Linked DNA regions of Arabidopsis thaliana. The protein of the gene in region 1 interacts with the protein of each later gene in a biochemical or structural test. Each region holds a gene or a part of one and is shown in the gene's direction. Other genes may lie near its edges. The genes, in order: PBS2 and SGT1B.

The links.
Region 2: the proteins of PBS2 (region 1) and SGT1B are reported together in a solved structure, tested with the Arabidopsis thaliana proteins (one study listed by BioGRID).

The regions. Positions count from the first base shown.
Region 1 is NC_003076.8:21,000,508-21,004,972, reverse strand, and holds PBS2 (cysteine and histidine-rich domain-containing protein RAR1), read left to right. Parts: upstream 1-1,686; 5' UTR 1,687-1,829; coding exon 1,830-1,937; exon of another isoform or gene 1,938-2,648; coding exon 2,649-2,651; intron 2,652-2,750; coding exon 2,751-2,833; intron 2,834-2,932; coding exon 2,933-3,087; intron 3,088-3,182; coding exon 3,183-3,412; intron 3,413-3,498; coding exon 3,499-3,600; 3' UTR 3,601-3,829; downstream 3,830-4,465. Other genes in the region: KEA5 (K+ efflux antiporter 5), read left to right, coding at 1-33, 135-230, 357-407; ACS12 (1-amino-cyclopropane-1-carboxylate synthase 12), read left to right, coding at 4,016-4,357, 4,450-4,465.
Region 2 is NC_003075.7:6,850,530-6,855,826, reverse strand, and holds SGT1B (phosphatase-like protein), read left to right. Parts: upstream 1-1,914; 5' UTR 1,915-2,107; coding exon 2,108-2,267; intron 2,268-2,594; coding exon 2,595-2,664; intron 2,665-2,769; coding exon 2,770-2,894; intron 2,895-3,002; coding exon 3,003-3,129; intron 3,130-3,207; coding exon 3,208-3,304; intron 3,305-3,422; coding exon 3,423-3,488; intron 3,489-3,567; coding exon 3,568-3,706; intron 3,707-3,831; coding exon 3,832-3,911; intron 3,912-3,997; coding exon 3,998-4,102; intron 4,103-4,204; coding exon 4,205-4,312; 3' UTR 4,313-4,643; downstream 4,644-5,297. Other genes in the region: AT4G11270 (Transducin/WD40 repeat-like superfamily protein), read right to left, coding at 1-1,366; AGL52 (AGAMOUS-like 52), read right to left, coding at 5,260-5,297.

The DNA.
Region 1 (4,465 bases):
CTACTCCTTTTGGGCACAACTGCTCTAAGTCTCGTAAGTTACCTAATATATGCAAACAAGCCTTTTCCATTCTAAGAGAACATACTTAAAATAATATTTAGTTCAAAACTGATTACCTGAAAATGCTGTTACAGGTAACGACTCCGTTGCTATTCAAGTTAATACCGAGTGCAATGAACCTCGGTGTCCTGCTTCGATGGTTCCCTTCTGAGAACAGTTCTCCGAACGAGGTCATTCTCTTTTCCAGATCTATTTATATTTAAGAACTGAGATAAGACATGACATAAAAATGAAAATAGATGTATTGATTATAGGAAACTGACTTGTGAGGTCGTGACTGAGAGTTTTGTTTGTAGAGTTTGCAGGAGAAAGCATCATTGATAGAAGTACATAACAGAACCAAGTGATCTCTCTTTTGTACATTGACTGAAGATTTAAGAAGAAAAAACAGATTTTGATCCGATATACTCAACTAGGAGGCAGAAAAAACATTTGAAACTGACCAAATCAGATCCAAGACTTGCTTTTTGTATTTTCTTAACTCTTTATTTTTTGTAATATCGTATATATTTAGTATTCACTACCTTCTTGTGTAGTTCAAGCGCTTATAGCTTGTTTTACTTGGTGTAAACGTTGTAACGATATTAGCCTTATATGCTGTTGTTTCTTTAATGTTCATCACAAATAAGAATCTCAATAGAAACCACAGAGTTCTATAATTGTGTGCTCAAACTCCACATATCTAAAGTGCGAGCAACAACTAGATGAATTTAGAGGTATAAATCCATTGCAATGCACAACAAAAATAACAAAAAAGAACCCTCCTTAGAAGAACAATGACATCAAAGTATAGAAAAGGATTGAGGTGGAATGAAGTAAGAGGCTGGTGAAATAGGAATTTAGTAGCACATATATGAGGACACGTGGAGCTTAGTGATTGGTTGAAATAAGAAAAGATACGTGGATTCGATTGGTATGAGCTGAAGTTGCTCAAGCTTAAGATCAAGTTGTTCATCGTCTTCTTCATTATGCAAAAATCTGAGAATTGTAAACTTTTCTTCTTCTTCCTTTCTTGTGTGTTTGGGGTTGTTACTCATTGTTAGTTTGAGATACTTCCTTCAATTCACTAATATTATTTATTTACGGGCAAATCTTAATGTGAGATTTTTGCATAGTGAGAAGTGAATCTGCGTTTTATGAACATCGTTTCAATCTATAGTTCGATTTCATTTGTGAGATTGTTGAGTTTCCTGTATCAGCTGGTTAAATAGCAAATCTACCATTCTTATCACCATTACGGAGATTGAATTTTCCGGAGTCATGGCTTTCCACGTAGTAGATGAAGTTTGGGGATAGGCCATACAAGCAAACTTGGAGACGGAAATATATACAAATAGAAAAACAAAATAATTAAGATTAGTTTTGCACAAACTTTGCAAAAACATCAAAATAGGTCCGACATTTAAATCACTTGCTTAGGTCTATAAAATAACACTCCCATCATTCAACATATTTTTCCTCTTGTGGGTTAGACCTACAAATCCGTGGATAAAACTCTTTAAAAACCTGTAATCTGTAACATATTGGCTTATTATCCATCACGCATGCTATTTTATGGACATGAAAATAATGTCCAAGCGGACCAAGCCCGCTCTGCATGGTATTATTTGGGCCGAGGCCCGTTTTACTCATCAGTTTTCATTACCGGTCAAAACTCAAAAGTCAAAATTTTCTAAAAGACGAAAAAGCCCTTTAATTTGATTTCCCAATACTTTTTACTCCTACCTTCTCAATTCGTCCGATTTCTTCACAAATTCACGAGAGAGATAATGGAAGTAGGATCTGCAACGAAGAAGCTTCAGTGCCAACGTATTGGCTGCAACGCCATGTTCACCGATGACGACAATCCTCAAGGTTCTTGTCAATTTCATGCTTCCGTACGTCTTCTTCTCTCCCCATCTTTAATCGATTCTTCTCTTTCTTTTCTAAGTCTTCGATAGTTTCTGATAAACCCATAGAGTAGCTTTTGAATTTGATTTTATGATGTGAGGTTACGAATTTCGATTTTTGATCATGAGAAGATGATTACGCAAGTGTTTAATTAGGTTTTGGATTAGCTGATTGATTACATGTAGATTTCATTTAGTTGTAAGTAAGTAAGCTTTGAACACAGCTTTGATTGTCTAATTGTCAAATTTTAACTAAGTTGTTTGCTTGCAACCTATGAATTCTGTGAGACTGTGAGCTTATTAGAACACTTGATGGAAGAAAGCAAAAGTATATTGCGTAAAATTGAATAATCCAAGTATTAGATCTTTTGCCACCGTTTATGGCTATGTGAGGGAGAGTGTACGTACATGCAGCGACTTTTGAATTGTTTGCTTCCAACTTTTGCCACCGGTTATGGCTATGTGAGGGAGAGAGCTCGTTAAGACTGTCCCTGGAAGTGTAATTAGAACAATTGTGTATAGAAAGAAGGCTTTATCTCAATATTCATCTTAACATTTGGCCTTGTATACTAGTGTTTCTTTCATATTCATCTATTGCTTTGAGCTTTTTATTGTAATTCATCTTCTTTTATTATCTTTTCTTTTTCCGGTGTGGCTGGGGCTGGTCTTTGCACTGACTACTGGTTTTTGTTCAAGCAGGGAGTAAGTCAAATTTACTCTTCAAATACTGTTTTATGTTTTTTTTTTTGTTTCACACTCGCTTGCTCAGAGAATTAAAGCTACCAAAGTTCAAACTTGCAGCCATTTTTTCACGACGGAATGAAAGAGTGGAGCTGCTGCAAGCAAAGAAGTCATGATTTCAGTTTGTTCTTGGAAATTCCAGGGTAACTAATATCCTTGTACCCCCTCATAATAATTCCTCTGTCTTTCATGGTACATATTGTAGTTGATTGCAAACACTGAAGATGTTTCTTGCAATGAAGATGTAAAACAGGTAAACACACAACTGAGAAACCAGTTCTGGCCAAATCGGTTCCAAAACATCCTGTTGCGGCTCCTACTTCATCTCCAGATGCCAATGCAGCAACAAAAGACTCTTGCTCCAGATGCCGGCAAGGCTTCTTCTGCTCAGACCATGGTTTGTATCTTTATTCTCTCGTCTTTAAATTCTCGTTGCACATTGGTTACATGCATGACCTTCTATCTAATTTTGTGTCCTTCTTTACCACACAGGATCCCAACCCAAAGAACAGATCAAGCAGACCCTGAACACACCGGGACAAGCAGAAGAAGAAAAAATTGAACCCTTAGCGCCTCCAGTACAAAAGGCTGTGATAGACATTAATCAACCGCAAGTCTGCAAAAACAAAGGATGTGGCCAAACATTCAAAGAGAGAGACAATCATGAGACTGCATGTAGCCATCATCCAGGTCCTGCGGTCTTCCACGACAGACTGAGAGGGGTAACACGTTCTTTGTTCAATCATTTTGTGACCCTTTTCTTTCACTGTTTGAATTTCTATTGAATATCACTGTTTTCTTTGTGTAGTGGAAATGTTGCGATGTTCACGTGAAGGAGTTCGACGAGTTCATGGAAATACCTCCTTGCACTAAAGGATGGCATAGCAGCAGCCCTGATCCGGCGGTCTGATATATTTTTTTTCCTGAGATTTTCGATTCAAAGATTAATCATCTTTTCTAATTGTGTTTTCATGTTCTTCTTATCATATGGAATTCTATTTTAGATTTGTTATAGAACCTTTCAGTTGACAGATATATGTAATGGTTAAATGCTCATCTTCTGTGTTTTGGATCATGATTATGGCTTTGATTGTTGTTTTCAAAACTTTGAAGATCTTTAAATAATTTCACCAATATTAGAAGGACTATTTAGCAACTTTTAAAACGTAGAGACAAATTGCGAATATGGAAAAATAATTTGCCAATTTATCTCAAAACTTTTGTATTTATTCGACTCTTTTTCAACTTCGTTACTCTCAACGAACGGCTCGAATCTCTCTTCAACGCCGGAGGCAACAACTATCTCCGCGGCGGAGCATTTTCCGATGAGGTTGATAGTACCTCTCCGTGGAGTAATTCAAGGCCGTGGTGGTCTCTTCGTCGGCTCTCTCATTCCTTGTTGTCTCTTCTACTTTCTCCAGCTCTACCTTAAACGACGCCGTCCTCCTCCCTCCGACCCGACGGACTTACCGAGAACTTTTTCACGGACTAATCTCTTCTCTCGCGGGAACTCGATCGGACGAGTTCGAGTCTCCTCCCGAGCAGTTCCTGTAGCTAAACCTTCCGATTCGCCTTATTACATTGGGTTGGAGAGAGTCAAAACGGATCCGTACGATCGGATTACGAACACGGATGGGATTATTCAGCTTGGATTAGCCGAGAGTACGGTGAGATTTTAAAAGTTCTCGATGATTTCTTCTCTTTGTGATTGTTGCGATGAGGTTTAATCTGATGGGGATTGCTTTTGTGAGTTCTGTAGCTGTGCTTTGACTTGC
Region 2 (5,297 bases), on another chromosome or scaffold:
CATTTTTGGCACTGCACTGACTTCCTGACTGCGAAGTACCAGTTTCTGCACTAACCGAGCCCTTGGGATCTAAACAGGAGCTTGAAATCCAATCAGCAAAATAGGAGCTTTCTCCAAGCACTTTGCGCTGAAGTTCTTTTTCTTTACCATTTCCTAGGCACAATGACCAGATCGTTATATGGGGCCTCCACTGAGAAGGTTGTTCAACATCACAACAACTAGACTCAACGCGAAGAAGATTCTGCCTCAACTGAACAAAACAAAACGTTGATTTCACGGAACGCTTATCATCAGGGGCAGTAACAATCTCACCGAAGTTTTTATATGTAAATTCACCATCTATATATGACATAGTAAACAGCACAGCAGAACCACTACCATCCCACAGCACAAAAGTTTCAGAAATACTATCATCTTTATCACCTTCAATAGTTGATGTACTAGAGTAAAGTATCATTGCTTCTTTGAACAGAAAATTTGAAGAATGCGAATCATCAACAAAAGATATCTCTCCTATTGCCTCCTCGCGATTCAACAACCAAAAGACACACCTACTCTTCGAGAAAAACGCAACAAGATCCCCTCGAGTTATTACTGATACAGCAATTTCCCCTTCACTCAACCAGTTTCTAGACACTAGAGAGCCTTTGCTCGGTTCAGATTTCTCTGACACTGAGACCAACTGCAACCTACCAAACGAATCAGCCATAAGCAATGATTCCTGCTCATCTAACTGAACCACGCCCATAAAATTCAAACAACCAATAGATAAATTCCCATGGAAAACTGTATGAACAATAGTAAGAGTGTAAGTATCAACAACAACCACCGTGCATCTCGACTTCTGAAAATCAGTATCTGCTAAAGTCTCAGCCCCATCAACATCGATATAAGAACAACCAACACATACATATCTAGGCTCTGATGGCAAAGTAGACAAAATCGATGGACTTCCAACCCAAGGAGGTAATTTTCTTCGTTTCCTACACTGACCACTACTTCTACTCCATACACACAAGACACCATCAGTACAAGCACTGATCAATGCACAACAGTTAACAAATGGATCCGCATTACCATTATCTGATGCAACAACTCCATTACTTGAAAGTATTGTAGGATCACAAATAGCAAGATCCACTATTGGTGAAGTATGGCCACACAACATAGCAATCGGTTTAATCTCATGATGAGGGAGACGAGTTACAGAATTGGATTCGGAAGAAGAAGAGATGCTCCACCAGATGATTGACCCATCGGATCCACCGGTATAGAGAGTCGGTGGATTGGTTAGAGAGGCTGTGGCGGTGACCCGATGAGACGGAGGAGCACGAGACCATAGGCAGGCCACAGATCGGCACTTCATCGGCTTGAATCAAGCGGTACAAGCATCGACCGAGTCAGTGAACGAGTCGGGGTGAGAGAAGAAGGAAGAACGAACTGGTAAACGACGTCGTAACAGTAATCACGACAAATATATCTGTACATATTTAGATGGATTTTTCGAGGTTGCAAATAAATTTTTTAAGGTAAATATTTGGCAAAAGTTTGATAATTGATATTTTAACTTTACTAGATTATTATCAACTTAAAATACTTAAATCTGTGTATTGGACGACGGGTCCTAATCTAGTCAATATATAAATTATAACTTGTTAAAATATATCATAGTCTAAATTCACAAATCACATTGTATTTGCTAAACTATGAGTAAACGATTACGATATAAACAAAATGAGTAGAAAATGATTATTTTAAATTATTGTAGTTCTCTATAAATATCTTTACCATTAGTTTTCTTTCCTTTTTTCAGTATTATTCTTTTGTCAACTAATTTATTTGTTAAAAAATCTGGACTTATCAAGAATCAATCTTATGTTAAAAAATAAAATCAAAAGGAAATTAGAAAATAAAATAAAATCTAATTACCTTTTTGTTTTTGGTTATATGACCTAGTAGAGGTATTAAAACGTTCTTAAAAGAAAAAAAAAATCCCAAACACAGCAAAAAAAAAAAAAGCCTAGAGGAATAGAATCGGTCTCTTTCTCTATAATCTCTCTCTCTCTCTGACTTGTTTGTGTTCTCTCAAATCCTCTGATAAGAATCAATGGCCAAGGAATTAGCAGAGAAAGCTAAAGAAGCTTTTCTAGATGATGACTTCGATGTTGCTGTTGACTTATACTCCAAAGCCATTGACTTGGATCCCAATTGCGCCGCCTTCTTCGCCGATCGTGCTCAGGCCAACATCAAAATCGATAACTTCACTGGTATAAATATAACTCTCTTCCTTACCGTTAATATCATCGTTAAAGATTGAAACTTTATTAGATGTATTGCTTCGTTGACGCTTTTGGGGTTCTGGGTCTTGTTCTTTTGTCGTTACTTTAATTCGATCTGTTGATAGTGGAACAAAGTTTTGATTTTTGTTATTGGTTTGGTTTAGTTTTAGTTTTAGGGTTTCTTTTGTGAGGTTGTTGATTCGGATAAGAAAACTTATTTGAGTAATTGTAATTGTAGTTACTGTACTTTGATTGAATTGTTGTTGTTTGATGATTTGATTTGATATTTTATCTTTTTGTGGTTTCTATGAGCAGAAGCTGTTGTAGATGCGAACAAAGCCATTGAGTTGGAGCCAACGTTGGCAAAAGCCTATCTCAGAAAGGGGTATGATATTTTCACCATCTCTCTGTAGTGAATGATTTGATGTTATGTTCAAATTTGATTGGAATTATAATTCTATCTTCTGATTCTTTGCTACTGTGTTCGCAGCACTGCTTGTATGAAGCTAGAAGAATATAGTACTGCTAAAGCAGCCCTGGAAAAGGGAGCTTCTGTTGCACCGAATGAACCAAAGTTTAAGAAGATGATAGATGAATGCGATCTTCGTATTGCAGGTATGTTACATCAACTCCATAGCTTAAGAAATTAGTTACTAAACGATTTTGGGTATTTGTCTGCGCCTAGGGCTATAATTTTGATATAGTCTTTGTATCTCTGTTCAGAAGAAGAGAAAGATTTGGTTCAGCCGATGCCACCGAGTTTGCCTTCAAGCTCTACAACACCACTAGCAACGGAAGCTGATGCTCCTCCTGTTCCAATTCCTGCAGCACCTGCCAAACCGATGTTCAGGTAGTCTGGTTATCTAACATGTAAATTCTTCTTTAATTTCCAGAATCATTTTATACTCATAACTTTATTGCTCAACAGGCACGAGTTCTACCAGAAACCAGAAGAAGCGGTGGTGACAATTTTCGCCAAAAAAGTACCTAAGGAGAACGTAACTGTCGAGTTTGGTGAGCAGATTGTGAGTATCCTTCAATCAGAGAATTCATGACTTTTATCTGAACTTCAGAAACTATCTCTCTTTGTAATTTAACACTGTATTGATTTGAGATGTCTATCTTGGCTTTATTTTGGTGCAGCTGAGTGTTGTCATTGATGTTGCTGGAGAGGAAGCTTATCATCTCCAGCCGAGATTGTTCGGGAAGGTATATTTTATTTGACATATGTAATTACGGTGTTTTCACACACACTTTTACTAAATCCTTCTTCATGGGTGTTTTTCAGATAATACCAGAGAAGTGCAGATTTGAAGTATTGTCGACCAAAGTTGAGATCCGTCTTGCGAAAGCAGAGATAATCACCTGGGCCTCCCTTGAATATGGTAAAGGGCAAAGTGTTTTGCCCAAACCCAATGTCTCATCAGGTTTGTCTCAGAAGATACCAGCTTACGTTTACTATTTTATTCTGAACCACAATCGTAAAACCTTAAACAAACTGAACCCAAAGTGGTCTCTCTCTCTTCTCATTTGATTTTATGTGCATATGCAGCGCTGTCGCAGAGACCAGTGTACCCATCTTCTAAGCCAGCAAAAGACTGGGACAAGTTGGAAGCTGAAGTGAAGAAACAGGTTCCACAAACGCTAACTTCTCATCCTTAACACTAGAGGCTTTGCTGTACTTTGTTCTTTCTGCTTATCACTTTTGAATTTCGCAGGAGAAGGATGAGAAGCTTGATGGAGATGCAGCTATGAACAAATTTTTCAGCGACATATACTCGAGTGCAGATGAAGACATGAGGCGGGCAATGAACAAATCATTTGTGAGCAAATCTATCTTTGGTCTTTAAAATTTTGGTTTAATAACTCTGCTTTGTTCTTCGACTAATGAGATTTTCCTCTCGGGTGGTTTTTGGGTTTGACAGGCAGAGTCGAATGGGACGGTACTGTCGACAAACTGGAAAGAAGTTGGGACTAAGAAAGTGGAGAGCACTCCACCAGATGGCATGGAGCTCAAGAAGTGGGAGTATTGATCTTCTTAAAATCCCCTTTTCTGGTTTTTGTTAAAAAAAAGTCTGACAAATCTTTTGAACTTTTAAGGTGTTTTTCTTTTTTGGTTTCTGCTCGAATTTGTCTCTCTCCATTCTTGCGTTGTGGTCTCAAAGAACGTTCTGATACTTTGATTTTGTATTAGAAAACTAAAACTCGCAAGTCTGTTGTTTTGGAACTTTGTTCTTTTATCGAGAGGCTTATCTAAATATTTCTTGACATAATTGCATTGTGGTCTAAAAGGTTAGTTGTATAAGCCCAACTTTCTTTAGTTAAAACCGATGTGCATCTATATAGTGAGACAGTATTTTCACCTTTGGGGTTCCTGGTCTAGGAACACTGTTGTTGAATCCAAATCTTTCTTTCTTCTCAAATGCCTTAAGGATTTGAAATGAACATGTTAAGCTATCATCAACACTCATCAATGCACCAGCATTGTCAAACTCGCCACAGTAATTGGGTGCAGAGAATTTGTCTTCACGAAATCAGAGCTACTTTCCATCTTCATGTATATATTAGCTGATTCAGACAAGAAGGATACTAAGTTACAAGTTTGTTATAAGATGCAAGAGTAAAGGATTTCACTTTGCAGGTTGTATCAACCAATTGAAACAGTCTTGTCACCATAAGTGATTTTAGATTATAATTTGTTTCATGCAAGTTTTTGTGAAAGACTTTTATGGAAGTTCATATATATATATATATATATATATATAATACTAACTGAAATACCAACTTAAAAGTAAAAACAAAATCTCCACAAATGGATCTGTTTTACAGTTATAACAACACTGTAAAATAAAAAAAGACAGTAGCAGGAAGAATTCAGAAGCAAAAACAGCTTCAATCTCTCTCTGATCAGCTTCCTACTTATAAGTATTGACTGACTCTTAATGAAGCTTCAAAAAACAAATCCTTTTGGACAGATTTGTTAGCAGAGAAGTCTTGAGTTGTCAGAAAAACAATAGC